Linked DNA regions of Drosophila melanogaster. The protein of the gene in region 4 interacts with the protein of the main gene of each other region in a pairwise test. Each region holds a gene or a part of one and is shown on either strand. Other genes may lie near its edges.

Region 1 (4,863 bases), 7.3 Mb from region 4:
TGCTGCTGGTGTGGAAAGTGAGCCTGCTGTTGATGGCTGGCGAGGAAGTGCTGCTGAGGCACCTGCGGAATCACCAGCGCGGCTGTTGAGGTGGTGACACCACGCCCAAAGCCCGACGTCTGCGGCTGCTGCTGCTGCTGGTTGAAGCGATAATCCGGAGTGACCTGCGCTGGCTGGTACAAAGTGGACACGCTGCTCGTGGTGGGATGTGCGGATGTGCTGGCTCGCGCCTCAGTTGTGGGCGGTGAGCATTTCAGTGCTTTCATCGGTGGATTGCTCGGTTTGCTGCTGCTGAGGCTGCTGCTGTTGCTTGCTGAGGTGGAGGTGGGTGTGGAGCTGGTTGTCGAAGAGGCGGCTCCGTTGGAGCAGGCCGCCACGAGGGAGGAGGATAGCGGTGGTGGTGCTGGTGGCAGCACAGGCGCTGTTGCTGCTGATATGGTATTGACCACGACTGGTTTGACATCGCCGCCAGAAGGGGGTGATAAGACGGCCGGTTTCTCATCAGCACTGGCTTCGCCGCCGCTGGATCCACCTCCTCCAGATCCTCCTGTCAACATGGCGGCAGCGAGAACGCTGCCCATGCTGTTGCCACCGTTCCCAACGATCGTCATCTGCACCAGCGCCTTGATCACCTGCTCCTTGGGATGGGTCTCCAAGTGATCGGAGAGATTCATGCCCGCATGCAGGTACAATGTGCACACGGGGCATTGGACACTGTTGTCGACCATGATGACGATTTTAGATTGTTCTATGTGTGGCTCCTGCCTACTCCTACTCCTGCTCACTGGCTGCTCCTGCTCTCTGGGAGCCTGGCTTCTAGCTTTCTAGTGCGACGGATGACTGGCGTGGTTGCCCTTCAGAGTCATAAAACAGCGTATCTCCTTGGCTTGGCGTCCATCTTGCTCAATCCTCTGATTCGACGCGGGTGAGCTGCATTGGAGAATATAAAGAATGTCAGAATGTTGGTGCCAGAAATTACTGTACCAGTCCCTGGGCACATTCTGCGCTCCGATATCAACGTCTTCGGTGAAACGATACCCGATATGCGAAGAATGCGCCGTCCGGCGATCCAAGTGATCAAGTATCCACGGAATGCGTAATGTTTAATCTTAACAAACGCGTCTTTTTACAAAACCAATCCAAATTTATAAAGCTGATAATTTAATAATAAACCCTACTTTTCTTATAGAAAGGTGATTTGGACTGGAAGAACCCTTCGCACATCGTGCATCCTAACTGTTGAAAGTAACTCAATTAAAACCACAAATGTTTTACTATCGGGGGTAGCACAAATAATCAGTAAAAAAACGTTCGTTGGAAGTTTCTTGTAGTGAGTAATTTCTTTAAAAGCCAACAAAATAAAAGCATGATAAAAATAAAATTGTTTCAACAGCGAGTGCATTTCTAATATGATGATTATAATGATTTTGGTTTACCAGTAATTATTTTGTTCTTTAGAAAGCTACCAAATAAGTACAATTAAACATACAAGGCATATTTAATAATTGAGGATCGCAAAGGATCAAAATGAGAGAACAAGAGTCAATAAACTTTTCTAGCACAAAGCAGACCCAACCTCAACACAGTCACCCTTAAAGTCGATTCCACATTTTCGAAATCAGAGGTGCCATTTTAAATCGATTCTATTGATTTAGTAAAGCCATGTCTTATATTCGAATCCGTTCATATTAACCACATTCTCTGAGTAGAGCAACATAAGAATTCTGATTAGAAGGTCCTGTTTGGGCAATGGAAATGGCGGATTGGAATGCCGGTTGCAGATGGGTGAGACAACTTCTGGAGCAGCTTTTTTCTCTCGGGGAGCCAGAGCAGCAGGAAGAAACGGAATCAGAATCGGAAAAAAAGAGGCAACGACCCAGACCCAGCCTGCTGACGAGTTATTGGCCGTTCATCTGGTTTGCCTTTTGCTGCTTGCCTTTTGCGATAACTTTTGCTTTTATTTATAGTCTGTCTGCAGACCAACATTCACTTGTTTCTTTTTTGGGATTTGGCCATCTCTGCAAGGGTGGCTCTTTGTTTTGGGGGCGAAGGACAATGCGAGGGCTGCACATAAACAGCGGCAAACAAATGTCTACGTCTGTTGCTATTGATTTTTCCTTTGCCAAAGGTTACACACACCACGCACACACAACACCCACATGCACACATGCACACACAGACTGTCGAAAAATTGAGGAGCACACGGTGCGTAAATGCATTATGATTTATTCCAGTATCCCAGTTTGCAGCGACAACAATCGCCAGCCAACCTTTTTTCCAGTGTGCACACACGCGCGCTTGTTTGTGTGCGTTAATGTCGCTGATCTTGCCACTTATTGTACGATTTTTTTCTGCTGATTATTATTCACATAATTACAGACACACACAATTTAAAAATGCACATATTTCCGCTTTTGTTCACCAGCCATTGCCATCGATTTCGTTTTCGTTTCGTCCATGGAATGGAATGACACTTCCACAAAGAGAGGACGCCAGCTAATTACCAGTATCGATCGAGAGAGAGAGCGGCTGAGAGCGTATCCTTGGAAATGTAAAGAGCGTGGTGCACCTGCGGCCGCTTAAAGATGAAGAGGAAGTGGAGTTGGAGGAGGAACTGGAACAGGAGGACCAGGAGCCAGGAGGCTCTCTTCTCTTCTTTTTCTCGTTCAATGACACAGAAATCTTTCCTCTCGTCTTCCGCTTTGTGCGCTCCTTCTTCCAATATACAAGCGAGCTTTTTATATGTGCGAGTGCGACTGCGAGGCCATCGCTGCGTTTATCTCCCTCTGTCTGTGTGTGTGTGCGTTTGTGTGTGTTGGAGTGCGTGTGGCTACACACAAAGTAATATTTTCAAGCACGTTTTTCATGCACTTCGAGCCGTTTTTTGTCTATTGCCGCATAGAAAACGAATAAACGCCACTTTCATCTACAATTTGGTGTACAATTCGTGCATATTGGTGCACTTTTCACTATCAAAAACCGTTTAAATCGTTTTCACCTTGCGACAAGAAAAATTACAACACCAGGCGTTGGAGTGCTGCAAAACGTATGCGGGCTGCGGGAACTTACCAGCACTAGCAGTGGTGGTATTTTTGGCTAAGCAGGGCATTTAGCTATTTTCTTGCTAAATACTACGTTTCTAAGTGATGGCAATGGATGAGAATCCCAAAAATTAGACCAATACTGTTAATTATTTTCTCAGGTGTTTAGATAAGAAAATAAAATAAAATGGCTTGCGTATCTGTTATTACACTTTGTTTAATATTTTGCGTCCCATACCGCTTTATTTCCCAAAAAGTATATGAAAAGTATGAATCCCTGGTAAGGGAAATTATTCAAGGAAGAAGAAGAAACAGCAAGCCGGAACGCAGGGAATTTTTTAGACAAGTTTGTCAACGTTTGCTAAGATTTTGTCGAGTTTGTGCAGTAAATAATAACAAACAACAGATATGGCAGATAAGGCGCAGGAACAAAGTATAATGGACAAGTCCATGCGGTCGGTTTTTGTGGGGAACATACCCTACGAGGCCACCGAGGAGAAGCTAAAGGAGATTTTCAGCGAAGTGGGCCCGGTCTTGTCACTGAAGTGAGTTCCCTACTTAGAGCCATGCAATATCTCACTGTAAACCTCCTATTCTCAATCCCCCAGACTGGTCTTTGATCGGGAAAGTGGCAAACCCAAGGGCTTTGGCTTCTGCGAGTACAAGGACCAGGAGACGGCTTTAAGTGCCATGCGGAATCTGAATGGCTATGAGATCGGCGGCAGAACACTGCGAGTGGACAACGCGTGTACGGAGAAGTCGCGCATGGAGATGCAGCAGCTGCTTCAGGGACCCCAGGTGGAGAATCCCTATGGCGAGCCCTGCGAACCAGAGGATGCTCCCGAGCTCATCACCAAAACGGTGGCTTCCTTGCCGCCGGAGCAAATGTACGAGCTGATGAAGCAGATGAAGCTCTGCATCGTGAGCAATCCATCGGAGGCACGCCAGATGCTAATGCTCAATCCTCAGTTGGCGTACGCTTTGCTCCAGGCCATGGTGGTTATGAGGATCGTGGACCCTCAGCAGGCGCTCGGGATGCTCTTCAAGGCCAACCAAATGCCCCCCGTCTTGGGCGGCAATCCGCACCAGGGGCCGGGGAATCACACCATGATGGGTCAGCAACAGGTTCCGCAACAGCAGGTGCAGATCCCGCAGCAACAGCAACAGGCTCCCCAGCCACCAATGCCCGTTCCCGGACCTGGCTTCCCGGCCAATGTCCATCCGAACGATATCGATTTGCGCATGGTGCCGGGTGGACCCATGCCGATGGATCCCAGGATGATGGGCCGTGGCATGGACCAGGATTTGCGAGCTTCTCTACCCAATCCAGTGCCACCGCCGCTGATGGATCCCCGAGCTCGTGCCCAGATGCCCCCACAGCAGCAGCAGGGCGTTCCGCAGGCGCCACCGGCCCCCTATCCCAGCGATCCGCGCCAGCGTCCCATGGATCCCAGGTTAAGGGCAGGACCTGGTCCTCAGCAGCAGGCGCCGCCACAAGGAATCCCCCAAGCGCCGCCACCGACACAACAACAGCAGGCGGCCGCTCAGCAGTTGCAGAGCAGACTAGGCGCCCATGGAGTCCTGCCCTCGGATGCCTCCGACCAGGAGAAGGCTGCCCTCATCATGCAGGTACTGCAGCTGTCCGACGAACAGATTGCGCAGCTGCCCTCCGAGCAACGGGTCAGTATTGTCATGCTCAAAGAGCAGATTGCGAAGAGTACCCAGCGCTGAAACTACTCTGGCTGAAACAAATGAAAAATCACCATTTCGCTCATGCATACTATAGTACTTTCAACATTGAATCAATTAATAAAAAGAACAT
Region 2 (3,378 bases), on a different chromosome or scaffold from region 4:
ACGTGCAGCGCCAGTTGCTGGATCATCTGGCCAAGAATGACACCAGTGGATTCAAGCAGCTGCTGAGCGGAGTGAGGAATGTTAATTTCGTGGACGACACCGGGATGTCGTGTTTGGCCCACGCCAGCTTCAAGGGAAACCGCGAGGCGGTGCAGCTGCTCCTGGACATGGTGGGTACATCTGCCAGGCAACCACCGCTTGGGCTCTAAACATGAAATAACCGCCTTTTCTTCCACAGGGTGCCGACATAAACCTCAATCAGCATGGAGCTGATTATACGCCACTGCATTTCGCCGCTCTATCGGGCAATACACATGTGTGCCGGCTTCTTTTGGATGCTGGCATCAAGCCGGGTAGCATCAATAGTGTCAACAGGACCGCCGCCCAAATGGCCGCCTTTGTGGGCAACCACGCCTGCGTGGAGACCATCAACAACTATGTGACCCAGTCGAGTTTGGAGTACTACACCCAAGTGCATGGCCAGCAGACGGAGCCGCATATACCACCCAGCTTACTCAAATCGTTCCACGCCTTTGTCACCGAAATCAACCTGCATCCCGTGAGGATTGCCCTGAATGTGCAGTCCTTGGGATTGCTTAGGATCCTGTCCAGTCTGCGCAAGACGCTGGCTTTGATGTGCGAAAAGGAGATGCAGAAGTCGCATGACCTCAACGAGCTGCTGGCCTTCAAGTTCCATTATCAGGGCTGGATTTTGGCCGAACTAATACGCTGCGAGGAGCAATTCAAGGCGCAGCACAAGGAGAAAAGTGGCGAGGAGGCGGGCGATGCGAACAAGAACGATTTCATCGAGATGTTTGTGAAGCGGGTGCTCAAGGAGAACAAGCTGGGCCAGCTGGACTATGTGGAATACACGTTGCGCGAATGTGCCAGGGAGTTTCCCGTGAGAGAGTGCACCATCTTCCGGCAAATCGCAACGCAATTTGGCGCCAAGGATGCCCCACCAGCACTGACTGTCCTGCGAAATGCCATCAATGGGATGAGGTGGATTACGGTGGGTATCATGATCTCATAATCAAATGATTCTTTTCTAATCTGGAAAACTAATTTTCAGGACGAGGGCAACTACTGCAGCACCTGCGGCGCCGAGAAACCGGACAAGAAGTGCTCCAAGTGCAAGGCGGTGCAGTATTGCGATCGCGAATGCCAGCGGCTGCATTGGTTCATGCACAAGAAGAACTGTGCCCGCCTCCTGGCCCAATCCCAAGCCCAAGCCCAAGCCCAGCCGCAATCGCAAGCGAAGGGAGCCATTGACACGGCCGAGCTGCGCGAGGAACTGTCCAAACTGACTGCGTAATCCTGTGCTCCTTTGTAACGCCAATAAATGTAACATAAAACCAGAAACCTAGCATTTTCGCGTACTAAAAGATTGTTAGTACCAAACTGTCAGATGTCTACACAAATTAAACTAGATAATAGTAACGAAAGGCAAAATTGCACGCTACAAATTCAATTAAAGTCAAAACATACAACAAACTGCCCAAAAATCGTATATCTATCGTAAAATAATAAAGAGTAATAATGGAACAAAAAAAAAATAGAAAAATAACTCCTTTTGAAGGTTATTAAAATTATGGTTATTTTACGTTTTAAATCGAACATTTCAAAAATGAAGTTTTTAAAATAGCAGTATTTCGAACACAAAACTAACAGCATTCATTTTCGAATGTTAAGTTAACAGCACTAGCGGCATTCGCCTGAGTGTCTGTTATCGATTTCGAAAATTCGAAAACGAACAGCTGATGCCAGTTGAATTTTTCTTGTTTAATCTATTTGTTGCTCGTTGCTCGTGAAAACCCGTTTAAAACAGTCCAAAATGGTGCAGGTTTGGTATATGGATACGGAGGAAACCGATCAGCGCCTGGAGCACCACCGCAATCCGCCTGCCTACTTGGAACTGGATGATCTGTACCAGAAGACCGGCGTGGAATACTTTAAGGCAAGTGAAAAGCGAAATTGCGACTTTAAAAACCTTAAGTGACCTTGGGGGCGAGCTTATCTTGATCATTCACATTTGCAGATCAATGCGGACGAGTACCAGAGCGATAATACCCTCACGGAACTGAGGGCAAAACGTGGCTACACCTACGATGATGAGGCAAGATCGATGTTTTCTTGAAAAACATCTACCGAACTTTGGTAAACTTCGAATTATTACAGATCACATGCTCGGAAAAGTGCCTTCCAGACTATGCCAACAAGTTGAAAGCCTTTTTCACCGAACACCTGCACACGGATGAGGAAATTCGCCTGATATTGGAGGGATCCGGTTACTTTGATGTTCGCGAGTAAGTTTTGTTTATTTACACCGCATTTTATAGTATCCCAGCCACATTTTCCCAATTAAATAGTTCAAGCATTCATATTCTTACTGATATTGTTTTTGCTCACACTAATAACATTTTTGGAATTGTTTTAAAACGGAAAACTATTTATTCTTTATAGCAATGAGGACAACTGGTTGCGCATTAAGGTTGTCAAGGGAGATCTGATCATTATACCAGCTGGCATATATCACCGCTTTACTTTGGATACCAATGTAAGTTATTTTGACAATCTTATATACAAACTTAAACTATTTGTATTGTTTTTTCTTAGAACTTTATCAGAACTCGTCGCTATTTTGTGGGCGAACCTGTCTGGGCTCCACACAATCGTCCTGCTGATGAAATGGACTGTCGCAAATCGTACATCAAGCATCAGTCGGAAAACTTTGTGCAATTCAATAAGGTTTAAAAACCTTAAATCTTATCTTTTACCATCAAGTTTGATATTTTGAAATATAAAATCGCTGTGTATAATCAATAGTTTCAATAGTTTTTTGTTTAACTTACAATTTTCGCTGATTAACGTAGTTTTGATATAGAATTCGAAGTCTATTTTCTATATCAATAAACCCCGCCAAAAACTTGATTTCGAATTTTATCTCTTAGTTGGTTGCTGCATATGCTAAACGTACTTTCGAACTCGAATCTCAGAGAGTACAATTCGCGGTATGACCGTACCAGCGCCGAAGAGAAAAAACAGCGCAAGTATATAATCCCAAGCGCCAGCGAAAGTATCGAGCCAACATCGATGCGCGTGCCATCGCTAGGAAGGAAAACAAAACAAACACTTTTTTACTTTTTCATCTCTCGGATCGTTCGGACGTGCTACGCGGTCTCGTCTGTGTGTGTGAGGTAGTGTGCGTGAGCGGAGCGGCGAAAAAGCACAATTGAAATTAAATCGAGTCGTTATCTGTGGATTCGGCGGATACAATACAATATCGTATCGTTATCTATTTACAAACAAATCGACGTGGATTAATAAAATGCCGCACACGAATGCTTAAAGCGGCCTATCTGTGTGTGTGTACGTGTG
Region 3 (5,002 bases), on a different chromosome or scaffold from region 4:
GCCTGCTGCTGCAGAGCCACCGGCAACTGGCTGAGGGTGAGACTTAGACTGGGAATAGTCACTGGCAGACTACTCTTTGGTTCGGGCTGCAGCTGGGGCTGATTGTTCGGGTTGTTGGGGTCGCTAGGAGCAAAGTACTGATATTCGTCTAGGGCCGCACTGCTGCTGTTGTTGTTGCTGCTATTGCGGCTTACGCAGTTGTTGTTATTGTTGCTGCTGCCTGTGGCTACTGGTGCTGAATCCAAAGAGCCGTGCTTGATGCGCTCGCGAGATCTAAAAAGCAAAAGTTGTAATTAGCTTTTTTGGAAAGCGGGTGCTTGCCTCAAGGTTAGCAGATAGGTGCTATGATGCAGATCCGCAGGCATGCATTTCATTCTTGCCTGTTGGTCAGTTCTGGACCGACCACATGAAACAAATTCAAAGTTTTAATAGAATTTCTATGTATACCCTTCCTAAATGCTTAAATTTAGATTTGACTTGCACACAATCCTTGTGAATTATCTAGACATTTATATTCTTATCTGCGTCATTGTTCTTATTCGGTAGACAACAGTTATTTTCTTTAACTAGTTTTTATTTGATTTGATTTCAGTAAAATCAATGTAAATTTATTGTAACCGAGGAAGGTGACTTGCGTATTATTTTGAGAACTATCTCGACATTTATATTCCCAATCCCTTACACTAATCATTCTTCTTATAACAATAAAAACTTAAAAATCGCGTAAAATCAAAATCTAAATGTTGAATATGTAAATATGTTTAGGCTTTTAAGTGACGGTGATTATTTCGCGGTCACCTCTCTCCGAATTTGCTCAAACAACTTTTTCAGTGATTATAATCGGAACACAATTGCTGTAGTCGAAAACCCGACTATCACATACCCGTTACTCAGCTAGTGCGAACGCGAAATTCTATAATTTTCCTTGCTTGTCGATAGATATTGGGGAATTAAAATTGTTGTGAGCGGTTTGAATTTTTCAGAAGAGGCGTAGCCAAAGTGTTTTTGGTATATCGGTAAGATAAAAAAAATGAAACCAAGAAAAATGAAAACATTTTTCAAAAGTGTGGTATTTTATAGTTCCTGAGCTCGAGGCTTGGCTATTGATCCTGTTCAGAAATATATATATGTACCTTATATGGTCGAAAACGCTTCCTTTTACCTGTTACACACTTTTCAACGAATTTAGTAAACCCTTTTTCCAAAGACACTAGAACAAATAACTGGAATGTCCAAAATCCCTTAAACGGGATCTACATATATCATAAGGTAGTATTTTAGGGCAGGTCAAACGTCGTCTTACTTGCGTTCCCGAATGACCTCCTTGAGGAAGGCCATGGCATCGTAGTATTCCCACTTGGACTTGAAGCGCGTGGTGCCCAGCATCTTTTCGTGGTTCAGCTCGCGGCGGAAGATCTCGCGGAGCGAAGTAAACGTGCGCTGCACCCGCTCGCCATTAACGTTGAAGAGCCGCCCCAACTCGTTCCATTTGATGGCTTTTCGCTTGTCCGAACGCTTGTAGTGTGGCAGGCGGCAGTCCCAGAGGATTGGGTTGAGTCGCACGAGCTCGATGAGTCGGCGCTTCTCGATGTTGTGGCGGGAAAAGGCCATGCTCCTCCGCTCTCTGCTCTTTCAGTCGCTGTTGGCCGAAATGCAACTACCAAAAAGGCCACTGCGCATGTCCTGTGTCGCCGGATGCTGCGCTGCAAAGTAAGTATAGAAATGAGGTGAGAAAATCGTTAAAGTTGCTTGTGCTGATGGTCGCCATGTTCGTTGCATACTTTTCGGCGTATTTCTCGGGTGGGTGCTTAGGGGTTCAAAAGTGTTGACACACGCACCCACGCACCTTGGGTGCAATGACCCCAGCAGGAGGGGTGTTTTTGTTTTCGAAATCGCATACGCACAGTTAAATACAATTGATTTTCGGGAGTATGGGTCCCACTGAAACTGAGACAACAGAGGGGACAAATCAAATACGGGAAATCTGCTTATAGCAGACCCTACAAACCCCAACCCCCACCTCCCCCATCAATTAATGTATGTATTCCACTTTCCCATAAGAGGCTGTTAGTTAAACAATAATCGAATACTGTAAACATTGGCATTCTGAGAGGCTGACTCGGCAGGAAAGTATTTACATACGATTTCGTGTGCCGATCGAGGAATTTCAGCTGCTACTGTTGGTCTGCGACCGATCTGATTGTGGAGGGAACAAGACTACACAAGGATTGGTATTGGTAGGACGCCTCCTTCTCTTTGGCTGCAGCTTGAACTCATTTGCAGTGCACAGCACGCCACACACTCACTAATGGGAACACACTGGGGTCTATAAATAAACGCATGTGCTCTTTTTGGTTATTGCCACCAATTGCTTGTGATACCAACATTATTCACATTGTTCGCTCGGAATTCCTTAGATGTTCTGGTTGTTTGTCGCTTGTACTCAAAGTCGTCTGACGCCTGGAATGGAACTAAAACCTTTTGCTCACAGTTTTGTTTACTGCTGCTGATTCGCTGTTGCGTCGCTCCGGCTTCTCTTTATTAACAATATGAGCAGCAAAGTCGGGGAATTTATTTCAATTTATTTCAATTAACAACAAATGCGGCCGTTGGTGCTTTGCCATGCGGCGTAGTTGCTGCCACTTATTGGGGATGCTGTTGTTATGTGTTGTGTTGCGAGTTGCTCGAGGGCCTTGCCACAACTATTGGCTGCCACAGATTCAGATACAGATACAGATGTTCGGCAACACGGCAAAATAACCACACTCATACACGCGCCCGGCCCTGTTGTCAGTGTGAAATCGCGTATATGTATACACACATTGCCTATGCGGACAGCCGAGAGAGACGAAAACATCAAAAAACAACACGAATAGCGAACTTTGACGAAAATCTGCAGCCAAACGGGCAGCTAACTTGCGATTACTACTAGTGAACCTGTCACTATTTGGTACATCCACTTGCCACTTTTCACTTGTCACCTCTCGCTTGGCCGTTCGTTGGCTTGGCAGCTTCCTTTTAGAGAGTGCGCCGCTGCTCTCCTCGACGATTGTCACAACTGCACAGCAAACCAACTTAGTTTTCTTGCAAATTGGCGCAGCAGCACAAAGAGAGCCGGAGAGAAAGTGAGCGAATGGCGCTTTTCTTTTCTGCTCCGCTCCAGAGCGCAAAGCACGGGAGAGAGAATGAGAGCAGAGGATGCTATTGTTGTTGTTGCAGTGCCGCCTACGCTGGTGTAAACAATCGGAGGCTGCCAATCCTATGCTATTACACTACACAACAAAAGAAATTGGCATAGTGAGGGAGCCTAGAGGGCTGCGTGAATAATGTAATTATAAACTCAACTTTTTGTGTGTGTGTGGAGTGATACGAAAAGATATTTACTTGGTATCTATTTAGGACTATATTAGACATATCCTCCACTCAAACGGGACGCATTTTAAAATAAATAAAATGAAATTTAATAAAAAAATGTATATTATAGGAAACCTTTAAAGCCGTCTTCTTTAAAACACCTTGGTGGAGTACCGGTAAAATATTAGCCATCTATCTATTCATCGAAATCATTACATAAATGGCATTATATATATTCTGTTTATCTATTCTAAAATATATAACTGATAGCTGAAGAAATAGCTGAAGTTTGGAAATGTTCTAGTCACAGTGTTTCAAACTTTGTTAGGCAGTGTTATTTTCGCTGTGAAAAATATTTATCGCCGTTGCGGTTCCGTTTGTGGCAGTGACACGTTATCGCCGAGCCGTGCCCAGTGATTAATCCAAGAGTGATAGCACTAAGTGGCTTGTGAGCGCTATTTGCTTACCACCAGCCGGATAAATAATGAACGGATTGCACCCAGGATTGGCAGCACCCGGCAATGAGCGCAGTCTCCGCAAAGCAACAATTGTACGCTGAGCTGTAGCTGAAGCAACAGCTTGAGCATGAGAGTTCCGAGAGAGCAAGGGATGAAGTCGAGGTCGAGTTTTGGTAGCAAGCTGAGCTGTGGCACAGGAATGAGCGAGGGAGGAGGCAAGGGGCACAGAGGACGAACTGCGGATTAACAATGGTAGCCACTCGCTCTGCTCGCGCGCCATTCGGCATTCGGCATCTATCATCCCATTTGGCTGCACTGCTGGTGCGGATATTTAACAATGCGAACAAGCACAAACAAAAAGGCTGCGCACACACACACGCGCGCTGGCAAATATTCAATTTGCCACTGCTGCAATCAACTTTATTGCCCGCTGTTGCTGTTGCTCTTGTTTACTCGTTGTTGTCTCCCGCTTGGTCATCTAAAAAATAAGCTTTAAGAATGAACTCGTATTTATCAATCGCACCAACACAGCCATCCGTGTTTTCGCTCTCCCTTTCCTTTTTCAGCAGAACGCAGCATACCGCTTTGTCTGATTCTGATTCGACTTATCAGTATGCGTTCTCGGCGCTGATGAATCTGCAGTTGAGTCGAACGCGGTCCACAGCTTAAATTAAATCCATTACTGCAATGTAATCCGTGGTACACAAATATTTTCGGATAGGCAACAGCATGTCACGGGCGTGTCAGATTGGGATAAAATCAGCTGAGTAGGGCGACTTCGGTTCCGTTAGGGGCCAGGGAAAATTGCCTATTATTTTACGTAGTAAGAACATTCATATTGTTCTATTGATATATGTATTTGCGATTTAAGTTTAGTTTTTCAATTCACAAAAAAAACTTATAAATGTGATTCCAAGTTGTTGTGCCATCCCGGAACAGTACAAACCATTAGAAAAAATTGACCAACTTTTTTACACGACGCTTTAATGGTGTTTCCATTGCACTATGGGAAATTTACCCACTTTTTGTGCACAAAATTAACACCTTTATAAAGGAGATATTAAGATATATTAAGATAATTATACTCGTTACTCGTAGAGTAAAAGGGTATACTAGATTCGTTGAAAAGTATGTAATAGGCAGAATGAAGCGTTTCCAACCATATAAAGTATATTTTCGAGTATCGATTT
Region 4 (3,715 bases):
TGATTTCGATATGAATCGTTACTTAAACTCCACTTTAGAATAGTAAGTACATTTCGTGTTTCCGGTAAAAACTTTTATATTTATTAAACATCTTTTTTAATAGCGAACCTCACAGTGGATCATCTATATATCACATGTCATTCCTGTTATACGCTATGTTGGGAGCCCTACTTACAATTATAACTTCAAACTTGGCTACTTTCGTCTACGGACGTCAGGATATCAAGAACGTTGATGAGAATCTTCTGGCACCAGTTGTTCAACGCTACTTGCGAAAAAACAATTACTATCAGAGCGTGGAGCTCAAGAAAGTTGAGGTACCAAAACTCAGTGAAAGTTCCGATTAAGCGATTTGTTGAGCAATGCAGTTGCTGTTACCATTGCTTAACAGTTTTGTTCCTATTGATAAGTATGAATTAGTTCATACATCAACATATTTCCTAATAATTCGATAGAGATTTTGTTTGTTCCTAAAAGGTAAATAAAAGCTTAAGAGGCTTAAAAAAGTGTAAATAAATACAGCAGTAGCTTGCATTCATTTTAGATTAATTAAAACTGTTTGTTTTTATTAAAATTTTTACTATAAAATTGATGTCTCAATTTGCTTTGGCTGCTAAGACTACCAATTGCAAAACACGAAAAGGGTTCCCAATTCATTTGATTCCTATATACGTGCAATGCAATTGGGAGTCTTAACAGATTTTTGTTTCAGGGGCTGCATAAAAGACTACTTCTATTTGCCTTTATTCTGACCAGTTTTGCGAATTAACTTTTGCCGGGGAATTGGACAATTGCGGACGTAAGGTGGATAGGTCATGGCCGGAAGGCAGACAATATTATCCTGTCTGTGGTTAGAAGATCTAGATGAGCTGCTTCTAGAGACTTTTGAAGCATGTTGGTTCTGATTAAACCGCGTAGGATTGGGGGAAGTACGGCCGGAAAGGTCTGGCATGCTGTAAGAAGTGGATTGTCTTGGGAGATCAGGAGCAGTTGCATGCCTTGAAGACGACCGGGACACCTGATTGCTCCTGGCGGTAGACTCCTGATCCGTACTGGAATTGTACAAATGATAAACCAATGGCACCTGCTGTTGGCACAATTGATGTTGCGGGGCTTTCGGCACTCGTTCCTTTGCCTCGCCACCAGTGCTTCTTTTCGAGAGGTCCACACTGGAACTTCTACTTTTACGAACCCGTGCATTTCGCACCTCCTTGCAAGTGCACATCCGCTTCCGTTCTCGTTCCAACTTCCGGTCCCTTTCCAGATCTTGCTCTTCCTTGCGCCGCTGTTTGTTCGCCTTCGCTTGATTGAGCGCTCTGTAGTGCACGGTTTGGTTGTCGATGAGCATTTGGGTAACGAATTTGAATTGGTTCAAGCTCGCTTCACTCTGAGCGGCAATTTCTAAAGGACATCGGTGAAGTTGTGATATAACAGTTTACTACGCTTCTTACATTATAATAATTGATTTTTATTTAATAAAAATTTTTAACCGAACTTACTGTTGGTGACATCGTGATAGATTTTATTGAGCATCGCCTCCTGATTCTGTAGGTCCTTCGACAGTCGTTCCATTTTGGCCACGGATTGCTCAAAGCTCTTGGACACCATTCGCCGCACAGCATCCTGTACCGATTCCAGGACATTATCGTGAATGATGCTAAAGAAGTCGGCAAAGGATTCCTGCAGATCGCGATTGGGATCGTTGCTGGGACTGGAGGTCATTTTATCCGTTTTTCTATCGTCGCCACCAGAATTGCGAGTGTCTTTTTCACTCGAACAAATCACGGGTGTTTCCCGGAATCCTACGCTTTTGGAGGACGAATCCTTGTCCCGCAAAGAGCTCGACTTGGATATATTCCGTTGGCGCTCCGTTCGATGGCGAGTCCTTCTCCTGCCGGCTGACGTCACTGAGGGAGAGGAATGCCGTACTACCTTTCTTTTCAAAACATCATAGCCCGACTGTCTGGCCGATTTCGTAAAGCAGTAATTTGGAAACATGACTTTTTTGACGAATTTTTAGGATGTAGATCGATTTAAAATTGGCGGCTCATGTTATTGTAATGAAATCTTTGCCTTCGCATCATGTGGATGTAAGCTCTTTTGAAATTAAATAGCTTGTTTTTTTTCAGATATTTATTTTGAAAGATAAATCCAAAATGGGATTGCTATAAAACAATTGTTATATCTTCCTATTTGCATAATTTATTGTTCAACTATATTTATTTATCTTCGTTTTGTACTTGTTTCACAAAATCAACATTTTTTATTATAAAATCCATGGTAAATAAGAATGAATACCAATTAAGTAAATAATTTTCCATAAATTTTTTTTCGCAAGACTTCGGCATTGTTTACTAACTCGCTAATAGCAATTCAATTAAAAGTTAATAATTAAATTGCAAAATCATAATTGCAAAAATTTTGCAACTGTCCGCCATCCGAAGTAAGCTTCTTAATGGATTTTTCCTCCTCCGTCGAGTCCAATGAGGCGGATGGCCGACAGGGAAAAGTATTTGTGCGAAAGGACCTGAAATGAATTTATTTGCCAACCATCCCATTAAGTAACCATAGTTTCCATCTGCTCGCCCAACCGATTAAATGTCAGTCAGGAAGTGGAGCAAGTGAATTCGCAAGGGTTGATGCGTATCATGAATTTAACCAGCCTCAAAACAAACATAAACAGTATGAATATCCAGAGTTGGCATGTTAAAATTGCCATTTGCAGACAATAAGAGTAAAGCACATAACCTTTGGCTGTTTGCAGAGCCCACAGCAACCAATATGTTTTCATTGTCTGCCCGGTTTGTCGCTCAATTTATTTGTGATGTTGACTTTCCAACAGTGACGTCAGTGGAGGCCACAGACAATACCACATCATCGCAACAATTATAAATGGTGTGGTGGCGAAAAAACGTCCTTGTGCCCATTGTTCAGTGGGGCGAACTGAAAAGTGGATTTTCCAGCGCGTGCCAGGAAAATGAATGAAAATGCGGGACATTCTTGAAGTCGTTGCCTTTATTCTGCTTTCACACATAATTATGAAATAAATATTAGCTTAAACCAAATTGACTACAACGTTATGCTCTATTAACTCTTATGGTCTACTTATGCTTAATGGGTTTTGGTTTAAGATGCTTGGGCATGTTTATCCACCATTACGAGTGGCTATATACACGGATGAGTTGGAATTTAAATGGCCTTAATAGCTAGTTAGGACTGGAAAGAAATGCATTTTAAATTTCTGATAAATGGCCGCGATTCACATACAAGTAAAATCAGTCTGTTTAAGAGAATATAACTAAACCGAGCTACTAATGGATTGAAACCTAGGTTCTGAGTGGTGGACAAAAAATCTTAATAGTTTTCGAAACACTTATTTCATTAGGATACCATATACTTAAATTAATTTCTCCAGTTTAAAGTTGATTGCAAAAATGCCTAATTAAATGTTTCAGGTAAGTTTTTTGGAAATATAAAACCTTTGTACCAATATCAAATTATAATGGGTTCTTTAGTTAAAATTTAATAAAAATCAAAATCTTGAATAGATTCAATTACCCATTTTGACACTTTAGATTTTTAATTTTAGAGTTAATTAAATGCCGTATAAATGTTATCTTAACTATAGATTGCGAAGTAGAAATAGGTTTGAAATTCGTAGCGTAGACTTGGCGTACTTACGACTAGAAACATACATTTGGCTTTACCCATGCCT

Evidence for each region.
Region 1: the proteins of CG14546 (region 4) and CG31224 interact in a two-hybrid assay, tested with the Drosophila melanogaster proteins (one large-scale study listed by BioGRID).
Region 2: the proteins of CG14546 (region 4) and Adi1 interact in a two-hybrid assay, tested with the Drosophila melanogaster proteins (one large-scale study listed by BioGRID).
Region 3: the proteins of CG14546 (region 4) and CG12768 interact in a two-hybrid assay, tested with the Drosophila melanogaster proteins (one large-scale study listed by BioGRID).

What each region holds. Positions count from the first base shown.
Region 1 is NT_033777.3:18,656,256-18,661,118, forward strand, and holds the start of CG31224 (uncharacterized protein), read right to left. Parts: upstream 3,055-4,863; 5' UTR 2,505-3,054; exon of another isoform or gene 2,271-2,504; intron 931-2,270; 5' UTR 729-930; coding exon 1-728. Other genes in the region: CstF64 (cleavage stimulation factor 64 kD subunit), read left to right, coding at 3,450-3,586, 3,650-4,772.
Region 2 is NT_037436.4:10,661,612-10,664,989, forward strand, and holds Adi1 (acireductone dioxygenase 1), read left to right. Parts: upstream 1-1,764; 5' UTR 1,765-1,834; coding exon 1,835-1,957; intron 1,958-2,038; coding exon 2,039-2,116; intron 2,117-2,178; coding exon 2,179-2,306; intron 2,307-2,463; coding exon 2,464-2,557; intron 2,558-2,616; coding exon 2,617-2,754; 3' UTR 2,755-2,824; downstream 2,825-3,378. Other genes in the region: CG8003 (uncharacterized protein), read left to right, coding at 1-170, 239-1,012, 1,073-1,315. UniProt on the Drosophila melanogaster protein: Catalyzes 2 different reactions between oxygen and the acireductone 1,2-dihydroxy-3-keto-5-methylthiopentene (DHK-MTPene) depending upon the metal bound in the active site.
Region 3 is NT_037436.4:22,908,535-22,913,536, reverse strand, and holds the start of CG12768 (uncharacterized protein), read right to left. Parts: upstream 3,047-5,002; 5' UTR 2,965-3,046; intron 2,705-2,964; exon of another isoform or gene 2,386-2,704; intron 1,948-2,385; exon of another isoform or gene 1,782-1,947; intron 1,704-1,781; 5' UTR 1,612-1,703; coding exon 1,304-1,611; intron 274-1,303; coding exon 1-273.
Region 4 is NT_033777.3:25,920,500-25,924,214, forward strand, and holds CG14546 (uncharacterized protein), read right to left. Parts: upstream 2,136-3,715; 5' UTR 1,999-2,135; coding exon 1,500-1,998; intron 1,402-1,499; coding exon 734-1,401; 3' UTR 543-733; downstream 1-542.